Linked DNA regions of Canis lupus familiaris. The protein of the gene in region 1 interacts with the protein of each later gene in a pairwise test. Links are inferred from orthologs where the notes say so. Each region holds a gene or a part of one and is shown on either strand. Other genes may lie near its edges.

Evidence for each region.
Region 2: the proteins of ESR2 (region 1) and SRC interact in a two-hybrid assay, tested with the Homo sapiens proteins (2 studies listed by BioGRID). The link is inferred for Canis lupus familiaris from reciprocal best matches to the Homo sapiens genes ESR2 and SRC.
Region 3: the proteins of ESR2 (region 1) and PLSCR1 interact in binary tests that used the Homo sapiens proteins (3 or more experiments, as listed by UniProt). The link is inferred for Canis lupus familiaris from reciprocal best matches to the Homo sapiens genes ESR2 and PLSCR1.

The regions. Positions count from the first base shown.
Region 1 is NC_049229.1:38,987,327-38,991,431, forward strand, and holds the start of ESR2 (estrogen receptor beta), read right to left. Parts: upstream 2,819-4,105; 5' UTR 2,709-2,818; intron 1-2,708.
Region 2 is NC_049245.1:26,586,649-26,589,623, forward strand, and holds the end of SRC (proto-oncogene tyrosine-protein kinase Src), read left to right. Parts: intron 1-236; coding exon 237-445; 3' UTR 446-2,465; downstream 2,466-2,975. UniProt on the Homo sapiens protein: Non-receptor protein tyrosine kinase which is activated following engagement of many different classes of cellular receptors including immune response receptors, integrins and other adhesion receptors, receptor protein tyrosine kinases, G protein-coupled receptors as well as cytokine receptors.
Region 3 is NC_049244.1:42,179,985-42,183,502, reverse strand, and holds part of PLSCR1 (phospholipid scramblase 1), read left to right. Parts: intron 1-1,560; coding exon 1,561-1,889; intron 1,890-3,518. UniProt on the Homo sapiens protein: Catalyzes calcium-induced ATP-independent rapid bidirectional and non-specific movement of phospholipids (lipid scrambling or lipid flip-flop) between the inner and outer leaflet of the plasma membrane resulting in collapse of the phospholipid asymmetry which leads to phosphatidylserine externalization on the cell surface.

The DNA.
Region 1 (4,105 bases):
GCTTATCCTAGTTACTGCCTCTGTAGTTCTCTGAAAGGTAAGCTGCATGTAGAAAATACGGCCTCCTCTTTTCATAGCACAAAGGAGAAAGGAAAAAGACATCATCTGACATATCTTTATTAGGAGTGCTTAACAATAACAGACTCCTAGCTATTCTCTAAATTGAATAATGCATTAAACAGTAAAGAATATGTCCTGCAAGAAAATCTAGATTTCAAAGCATGAGCACAGAAATGGAAAAACTCTGACATCAACACATAAATTGGGCACAGACCTCAACTCTTAATAAGGACAGTATTTTTTAACTTAAGTCACAATCACTCTATATTAGATTTTCAATGTCTCCAGATTGCCATTTTTAATTACTTTTCTGCTCCTCACTAATTAATCGTACGTAATTTCAGGTAACTTTTGTACTCTCAAATATAATAAAAGTATTTTTTAAATGCCTAGTTATATAAATACAATACATTCTATTAATATTACATAAATGACCAATGTTTCTTTTTAAAAACCCTGTATTCAGTTGGTGATAATCCAGATGCACACCAGAACAAAAGACTTAGCCCACAATGGAATCCGAATGTGCTAAGAATGAAATCTATTAGCCCAATGGGAACCTAACAGTCCCATTTGCAAAATAGCTTTTCTTTGCCTCAATTCATTCCAAAGTATATAAGGAGTAAAACAAAAATACCACAACCTGACTCATCCCAACAAAAAGGGGGGTTGAGGGAGACTGGGATTCTCTTTTGCAAAAAGCATAGGAAGATTAATTATTTCTGGGTAAAAACATACTGAAGAACAGAACAGTAAAATTAGGGAACAGTTCAGTGATTTTTCAGGGGGTGAGGATGGGTGGGGGGGCTGATTACAAACACACAAAGGGGACTTTTGGGAGTGATGGCACTCTTCTAGGTCTTGACTGTAGAAGTGATTATATAAATGTTGCAACTGTCAGAATTCATAAAGGGTAACCTAAAGAGGCTAGGTTTTACTGTATATAAATTATATTGCCAGGAACCTGCCTTTTTAAAATGGCTATAATGTCCATTTCCACTAAATTATGAAGTGTAACATTCAAGTATACAGTTCTCAATGTTCTAGATGTAATTAGGAAAAAACTTACCAGTAAATGATTCAAGTTCAGCCTTCAGTGTTTTATATAATCATTACATATTTACAAGTATTATATAAAGTGGCTCAAAACATAAACTAAAATTATCAGATGTATTTTGCACCATTACTTGAATATAGATATATAGAAAACTGTAGTGTTTTACTCTTAAAAATGAACATTTCAATATCTATTAGATGTTAATTATGTTTTGAAGGGTTAAATTTACTACTAAATTTTACCTTTTCCATATTATAAGTAAACTGAGGAATAGAAAAGGTCATTAGATTCATTTGAGTCCCTCAGAACCACTATGAAATGTATTCTGTGTTTTTAATAGATTTCAGAGATTTTCAAGTCTTAAGAGTTACAGGAGACTGGCTGTTTTTGAAATAAGAATGTTTCAGTAATTCAACTGAAAAAAAGAAGATTGAATGTAAAATGGATCCTAAGATTATGCTTTAACACCTTACATTCTCCCTCTTCTTGAGTATATGCAGAAATATAGATTTTTCTGCAGAAAAAATAAAAGGCAAAGAAGAAGTGTCATAGTCAGAGAACACATACTTTTTTACAATACTTAACGGCAGAAACCTTTCTTTCCACATGTTCACTTAAGTAACGAATACCTTTCTCCACATATAATAGCCACTGTGAGTTCAGAAACTTAAAAGTAAAAATTCCCAATGGCATGTCCATGAAAATACTAAAAGTCTAGTAAGGCAAAAATCTTACCTCCAAAGGGTTGTGTACTACACCAAAGCACAAAGCTGCTTTTTTAAAAAGCTAGTAAAATTGAGTCAACCTGGTTTTCCTAAATAGAAATTCACTCAAACCCAAATTTTTTTTACAAAAAAATATTATTCCCTTGACTTAATTTTAGGCTTCCGAAATGAATCAGGCACGAATGGTAACACAAAGGGACAAGAGAAGAGCAGCTGGCTTCCTCTTCAGCAAATAAAACAGACCAGATCTTAGATCTTGCTCAGTTCACCCAGGACAGAAGCAAATCTGTTTTTTATATCACTGAGCAGTGGCACTTAATACATTTAAAACACCGGTCACCTGCTTGATCCACGTACACCTTCCCAGGCCCACAAAACTCAAGCATGAAGTCCTCGTTCAACTTTCCCACGCTCATCATTTCACCCTTTTTCGGGAAATCCATAGGAGGAAAGAAGAAAGAAAGAAAGAAAGAAAGAGAGAAAGAGAGAAAGAGAGAAAGAAAGAGAGAAAGAAAGAGAGAAAGAAAGAAAGAAAGAAAGAACGAAAAGAAAGAAAAAAAAGAGGAAAAGAAAGAAAGAAAAATAAAAGAAAGAAAAGAAAGAAAGAAAAAATCTAGAGTTTTTTTCTTTCAAAAAGACACGTATCAATCCGGAGTTTACAGGCACAAACTAATTAAATTAACTTGCCAGCGTCTTGAGTGAAAATACTTAGAGCGTGAAATTTCTGTTTCCTATAGTTTTCAAGACAAGTGGTTTCGGGCGGAGGCGGGGGTCTGTCATTGTTCTCAATATTGCTGCTTTCGCATCCTTGGCTTTCACACAGAGGAGCAGACAGTCCCACCTCGAGCCGGCCGGGGGGCCCTTACCTTGCAGGTGCACGGCGCCCAGGGGTCTCTGTCACGCGGGCCCGGCCTCTCCCGGAGCAGCCGCCCGCCGCGGGCCCCGCGGTCCCGGGGCCGGAGAGCGCGCCCACCGCGCGGCGCGGAGCCGGAGCGGAGCCGGAGCGGAGCCGGAGCCCGAGCGCAGCTGGATCGCCGCCCGCCGCCCGCCGCCGCCGCGGTCCCCCTCCGCGCTCCCGCCGCCCCCTCCCACCCACCGCAAGTTTCCCCGGCGGTCCCCGCCCCCTCGGCGCTTCGGGCTGCCTGGCTGCAGGGGCGCGAACCCGGTTTCAACAGGTCCAGGAGCCGGAGACGCTGCAAAGATCACCAACGACTTAACGAGGAGCCTCTCCTCCCTTTTAAAGACCCGGGGGCGGCGGAGAAAGCCTCCAAGAGCCCACGTGACCACCGAGCCGGCTGCCCAGAAATCTCGGGAGGACGCGGACTCCCCGTGTCTCGCCATCCACACTCACCTGGGCGGAGGGAGAAGCCCCGGGGAGCGAGCACTCGAGGCGCCCTTCCCGCCGGCCTGGGTTTGGGAGGTCTGGGGCGGGGCCTGAGAATGCGCATTTCCAACCCGGTGCAGGACCAAGCCCAAACGGATGCTGCCCGGTGGGGGGGCCACACTTTGAAGATTCACGTCCCTAGACCGTGCCCCACGTGGGTCTGTCAGTGGATGCTTCGGGGTCATTTAAATACAGAAGTCTGACTTTTTTTTTTTTTTTTAAGAATTTATTTACTCATGAGAGACACACAGAGAGAGAGGCAGAGACACAGGCAGAGGGAGAAGCAGGCTCCGTGCAGGGAACCCAACGTGGGACTCGATCCCGGGACCCCAGGATCACGCCCTGAGCGGAAGGCAGAGGCTCAACCACGGAAGGTGCCCCCAGAAATCTGACTCTTAAGAATCCAGTGGTGAAACTAGAGAGGCTTTGGGTTTTCTCAGTCCGGGGCCCAAGGGCAGGTTCGTGCCCCTGGAGAGGCCAAGCCACGAGGCCGTGGAGGTAGATGGCGGGTGCGGGTTCTGAGCGGCCGGCTGGGGAGGCCTTTCGCCTTAGAGCAAGGAGCCCAGGAACCTCCTCACTCACCGCTGCCAAAAGAGGCAGCTGGGGGGACATCTGCCTCTGCCGCTGGCGGCGCCCCTCTTCCCTCCGCAGGGCCTCCGTGGAGCTCCCTGCAGGCCTGAGCCCCCTGGTGGCAGCTCCAGTCCCCCAGGTCTGCGGAGTCCCCAAGCTCTCCTCGCCCACCCTGCAGCACAGCCCACAGCCTGAGGACTTTCCCTAGTCGTTAAGCAGCACCTGGCGTTAGGGCAGCCACTGGTGGCGAAAATCCAATGGTAAGTTGCATATGTCCCATAAGCCATTCTCAGACCCCAGTGCCACATT
Region 2 (2,975 bases), on another chromosome or scaffold:
GATCTAGGGCAAACCACACCCCTTCCCAGGCTCAGTTTCCCCATCTGTATAATAAAGAGGTTGAGTATCCCATCTTAGGGGCTCTCTGGTCAGGGCTCTCTGCCATGGGAGGGGACTTACCCGTGATCACAGCCCCCTGCCCTAGGCGAGAGGTCATCTCTGCTCTCCTCATCATCCTCCCCCCACCTGGCTTTCCTCACAAGAGCCAGTCTCCTCATGCTTCCCTCTACCCACAGGGATGGTCAACCGTGAGGTGCTTGACCAGGTGGAACGGGGCTACCGGATGCCCTGCCCGCCTGAGTGTCCCGAGTCCCTGCACGACCTCATGTGCCAGTGCTGGCGGAAGGAGCCTGAGGAACGACCCACCTTTGAGTACCTGCAGGCCTTCCTGGAGGACTACTTCACATCCACCGAGCCCCAGTACCAGCCGGGAGAGAACCTATAGGGAGCAAGCTACAGGGCCAGACTGGCTTCTCGGCTTGGATCCTGGGCTGGGTGGCCCCTGATGTAGGATCTTGCCTCCCTCCGCCTGCCTGCATTGATCCCCTCTGTGGGGCTGAATTGTCAGTGATGAGGCCCCTCCCTCTTTTGTGGCATGGAAGGGCTTGGGGCCTGGGGTGGCCTCGGGGACAGGGTCCAAGGCTGGCACAGTGACTGCATCCCGGTTCCTGCTCCGGCCACATGTGTCCCCCCAGCCTTCCCTTCTGGAGCTCTGTGCTGCTCAGCAGGAGGAAGCAGGAAGAAGGACGGGCTGCTCCCCACATTGGCTCCTTCCCACTTCCATGTCATCCCAGGTCTGCCTCCAGAGCTGGCCGAAGAGCCTTTCCAAAGAGGAGTGATGGGCCCCTGGCCCACGGCCTGCCCGCCACCCTACCCCTTGCCGTCCATTTCTGAAACACCTGTTGGTGGAAGCTGCTGGCTCCAGGCCCCTCTGCCACGGCTCCCCGGCTGTGCAGCTGAGGTGTAGCTTGACTTCATGGTGGTGGGTAGGGTGGGCACCCCCCTCAAGTCCTGTTCTTAGACCCCACGGACCCTGAGAGATCACCAATTCCTTGTCCTCATAGTACCCCTGGGGAAACAGTCCAGAGAGGGGATGTGACTTGCCCAAGACCACAGAGAAGTTCAGGGTTGAGGTGGGTTCGGAACCCGGTGCTCCCTCTGTCTTCCTCAGGAACCAACAAGATTGTCCTTGGAGGCAGCGTGGACAGCCCAGGGCAGCCTAGGGGACCAGGGGCCTGAGGCTGAATTAGAGATAGCAGAGAGAGTCCTGCTGCCACTGCCTGCCTGGCGGGGCTGCTGTGCAGGGAGAGAGTGGAGGGGGACGGAGGGCGGGGCTAGGAATGAGGGGTGACCATGCAGGCGTTGGGAAGATGTCGAACAGAATGTGAGTGGTTCTCATCCTTGGGGCCAGCCAGCATGAAAGAGAGTGAGCTCCCAGGCTCCGGACGCAATTGAACAGAAATAGAAGATCTAAGTGGTTGGGCGGTCCTGGCCTCAGGAGGAACCCCAGTTTGTCCTGTGTCATTTCAATGCCTGGCGCCTGCCCTCCTCCCCAAGTTGGCACCCCTTAACTCATGAGCGGGGAAAGGAGTACCTAATGCTGGGGTGGGAGAGGATGAGTGTCCGCTGCTATGTGCCAAGCCTGGCTGTGCTGGCGGTGTGACCTCGGGTGGCCCCTGCTTCCTCCCTCGGCTGCAGTGTCTGCCTTCATGTGTGGCCGTGGCCTCTGCAACTGCTCTGCTCCAGACCCTGTGGCCTGGCATCACTTGGTGAGCCCCGCCTGGGGCATCCGGAGGCTCTCTGGCCCTAGCTCTGGTGTTTAGCCTTAGGGTATGTGGTGGCTCCTCCCTGGGCCTTGGTGTGCCCATCTTAAAAGGGGTGGCTGACGGTTTGTGGGCATCTTGCCAAGGGCCCCATGTGTGTGTATGTGCGTTGTGTGTGTGTGCACATGTGTGTTCTTCCATGTATGTCCATATTTAACATGTAAAAATGCTCCCCTGCTCTGTCCCCGAGACATGTTGTACATTTCACCCACAGCCCCCCATCATAGCAATAACATTCCTGCTGCCAGGGGTGCTCGAGCCAGCCAGGCCCTGCCAGTGGGAAAGGAGGCCAAGCGGTGCCTGCCTATGAAATTTCAACTTTTCCTTTCATACATGTTTATTACGCAAGTCTGCTGTCCGTCCCAGTCGGATCTGGGCTCGCTGACCCCGGCGTGCTCTCAAGTCCCCCTTCCAGCTGCCCGGGGCCCTTTGTATAAGGTGTCCTAATACTGTTTTGTTTTGTTTTTTTAAATAAACAGTGTTTTGTAGATTTCAGATGACTATGCAGAGGCCTAGGGGACCCTCAGCTCTGGGCAGGGCCTGGGGGTCCCAGATTTCACGGCCCAGGCTTGGGGGGGAGGGATCCAGAATTGGTTGTAAATACTTTGCATATTGTCTGATTAAACACAAACAGACCTCAAAGTTTGGCCTGTGGTTTATTGAGCATCTACCGTGTGCTGGAGAGTGAGAGGGGTGGGATGTGAGGACAGACTGTGGTGGGAGGGGCCTTGTTCGGGCCACGCTGGTGGCTAGAGGGCTTTAGGCCAGGGGGAGACGTGATCAGATTGGAGACAGACTGCACCTGTCTGCACTCACCAGAGTGAGCACATCTGGCAGAGGCTGGCTTGTGTCTGACATGCACCAGTGAAGCCAGGACTCCCACAGGGTGAGCCATTCAGGATGCAGATGCCCTGGGTGGATGGTGGCAGTTGACACTCTGGGGGCCGGGAGGGACTGTCAGGCCTGTGTGGGGTCACAGGCGTGCTTACAGGGTGATGTGGCTGTGTGTGTGCTGTGTTTTGCAGGAGCGCCAGGCTGGGGTGGAGCTGGATCCACTCTAGAGAAAAACCCAAAGACCTTTCGTCTCCTCCCTTTTCCCTCACCACTAAGGGACACAACTAGGTAGTTATTTGCGACAGTCTATATGAAGAC
Region 3 (3,518 bases), on another chromosome or scaffold:
GAGTTTTGCATTTGGTTTTCTTTCCTCCTGGACATTTCTTGCCGGATCTTTACACAGAGCTTTTCTGTTCTCATATTTTAGATCTCAACAGAAATTTTTTTTCTATCTAATGTAACGAATTGATACCTTTCCCTCTCCACCATGCATTTTCTCTATAAGTTCAATCTGAAATCTTTTAAATCAAAGAATTTATTTTCCCTTTCCCAAAAGTTGCCTGTAAGCTTCCTGAGGGCAGGTTGCCTGTTGATAGCTGTGTCCTCTGATTCTAGAACAGAGCCAGTCACATTGTAGAATGTTGGTAAATATTTATTGTAAGAAGGAATGAATTATAAAAACTATATTTAAAAGATATTAGTATGAGATTTAGTCTCTTCTAAATCTTTTTAATGGTGTATGTGTTTTGCCTCAGTGATTTTTTAAGTACTTATAAATTACATAATCTAAGTATTAAATTTTATATAGCCTTTCCTGTTAAAATATTATGAAACACATTCCTTTGAAATTATATTCCATTCCTGTGGGATTGCTACTCTGTGGACTACTCATGGAAGCTTATGAAGTTCCATTGCAATCACAAATTCACATGGAATACAGAATATACGCTTATTAAATTTCTTCCTCTCCTGTGCTTCTTAAATACTTAAGATTGCCTATTGTAACTTTTTATCTTCCTTAGTTCTCAAATTATATTTTTCAGAGTGCTGTAAATTATAAAACTTAAATTTGTAATCTATCATACTGGATGATTTTTTCATGTAGGAGGTTTTAGGATAGGAATGTACCATGCCTGAAAATTTCAGGCTGATTGTTCACCCAGATAAGCATCTGGACAATATTGGAAGTAACAACATGCTTTTACCTTTATGCCAAGGTTTCTCAATGGCAGCACTATAATATTTGGAGATGAATAACTCTTTTTATTTTTCAGGGTACTATTCTAGCATTTCAGGAAGTATTTAGCAGCATCACTGACCTCTGTTTACCAGATGCCAGTATCACCCTCCATTCCAGCTGAAACAACCAAAAATATACCCAAACTTTGCCACATATTCTTTGAGGGGGCAAAACCACCCCTAGTTCTATACATAAAGGAGATACTGTTTCCTACAGTTCCAGAATTATCATATTTTTATACAATACTTTGGTTTCAGAAATGCTGATTCCAAGCCTTTTTGGGCCTTTTACTCCGTGCCATCTCTCTTTTCTATTAGGGCATTCCAGAATCTTTATGTAGGTGACTCTAGATCATTGTTGATTTCCTGTCACTTTCCTAGTTTTCAAGACTATTTTCAACTGAAAATTGAAAATTGAAAATTTTGAGTGGTGGATAAGGCTTGGGCCAATCCTACTCCCAGCCCCAAGCCGTATAGGAGTGGATATGAAACCACAAATATTTCATTGAAAAATCGCTGAAAGATAAAAACACAACCTTTAAGCTTCATAAAAACAGGATTTCTGAGTTGAAATTTTAGTTTGTAGAGTTTTAGGAGTAATCCCAAAAGAATTCATGTTTCAAATTTTCTGTGCAGTTACAAATTATTTTACTTGTTTATATTTCAGGGCCTCCAGGACATATGGGCTACCCTGGCCCTCAGGTTGGCTATCCTGGCCCTCAGGTTGGCTATCCTGGCCCTCAGGTTGGCTATCCCGGCCCCCAGCCTGGCTATCCTGGCCCCCAGCCTGGCTATCCCGGCCCCCAGCCTGGCTATCCTGGCCCTCAGGCTGGCTACTCAATTCCACCAGCTGATTATTTAGGTGCTGGCCCAGTAGGCTTTCCTGTCCAACACCAGCCAGTGTATAATCAGCCAGGTGGACCTGCAGGGGTACCATGGATGCCAGCACCACCACCTCCATTAGACTGTCCACCTGGATTGGAATATTTAAGTCAGGTAATTCTAAATAAGTGAAACACTCATAAAAAAATAAAATTGTGCATATCATTTGCTTAATGAAATTAACAAATGACTAATTCAGAAAAGTCTGAAATGGTAAAACATTTTACACTAACAAATTACTATAAGTCTTCTAGGTCAAGTTTACTTTCAAAGCAAAATATAAATGTCTCATGAAATTGTGTTTTCTATGATTTTGAATATACTCTGTGGCAATGGTCAATAGCAAACTTTAATTAAGCACTATTTTCCAGAGTTTGTTCCTAAGTATAACACATGCATTAACTTATCTAATCCCTTAGAAGCTCTATGATATATAGGTGCTATAATTATCATCATTTTACAGAAGAGGAAACTGAGGTCCAGGGAGATTATATAACTGACTCAGGGTCAAAACACTAAGGAATGGCTTCTTAATTCTGGAAACTTGGTTCTAGATCTTGTTCTTTAATCTTAACACCGAATAACTTCCTGAGAGGTGAATAGAAACATTAAACTAAATTTAGTGCTGAGTGTCAAGGTGCCTGGGTGGCTCAGTTGGTTAAGTGTCTGCCTCCAGCTCAGGTCATTATCCCAGGTTCCTGGGATTGAACCCAGGGTCAAACTCCCTGCTCAGCAGAGTCTGCTTCTCCTTTCTCTGCCCCTCCCTCCAGCTTGTGCACTCTCTCTCTCATAAATAAACAAAAAAATCTTTTTAAAAAATTTAGTGTTGATATCAATAAGTGGTACCAAAAACTGAGAGTTAATATTTTCTGTATAACATGATTCACTTTTTGTTATAATTAATAAAACTATATTTTATGATGCTTTGTCCTTTGGAAGAACCAATTTTATTAACACCACCAGTGAGGAAAAAAAAAAATCCTTTTTTTTCCCTTGCCCATATCCTAGCAATGTGAAGGTTAGTATTTGCTTAATGTTGGAAATCTGGTATGTAAACTGGGAATATGAAATTATTTGTGTCTAATCTATAAACAGCTATTCCTGCGATAACTAACCAGTTTTAAGTAAATGAATTGGCTCTCTTTTACTCTCTGTACTACTTTAATTTTCCCCAATGCACTTGGGTGTTGTAAGAACTATTAGTAGTTCATACAATCCAAGAAATACTTTAAACAGATTCTTTTTAAAAATCAAGGCCTTACAAAATATATAGGGGAAGTTATTACCTGCTCCAAAAGGTAATATCAAGCACACTTCAAATTTGTTTTTTAAATTTGGAAAGAATTTTTAAATTTGGAAAGAAGCACTTTAAATGGATAAGGAGTCTTAATATTTCTTAAGTCTTTTCAAGAAGGAACTTTTTTTTTTTAATTTTTAGAGGGATTCCAGTGTAAGTCAATTTTATTTGACCTGAATTTGCCCACGTTAATAGTGAACACATTCAATAGATTGTTTTTCTTTTTCTTTTTTAAAGATTTTATTTGAGAAAGAGAGAGCATGCATGCATGTGCAAGCACACAAAAATGGCAGGGAGGGGCGGAGGGAAAGGGAGAAGCAGACTTCCCACTGAGTCGGGAGCCCAACTCCCGGCTGATCCCAGGACCCTGAGATCATGACCTGAGCCAAAGCCAGCCACTTAACCAATTGAGCCACCCAGGTGCCCCAGTAGATTGTTTTCAATTA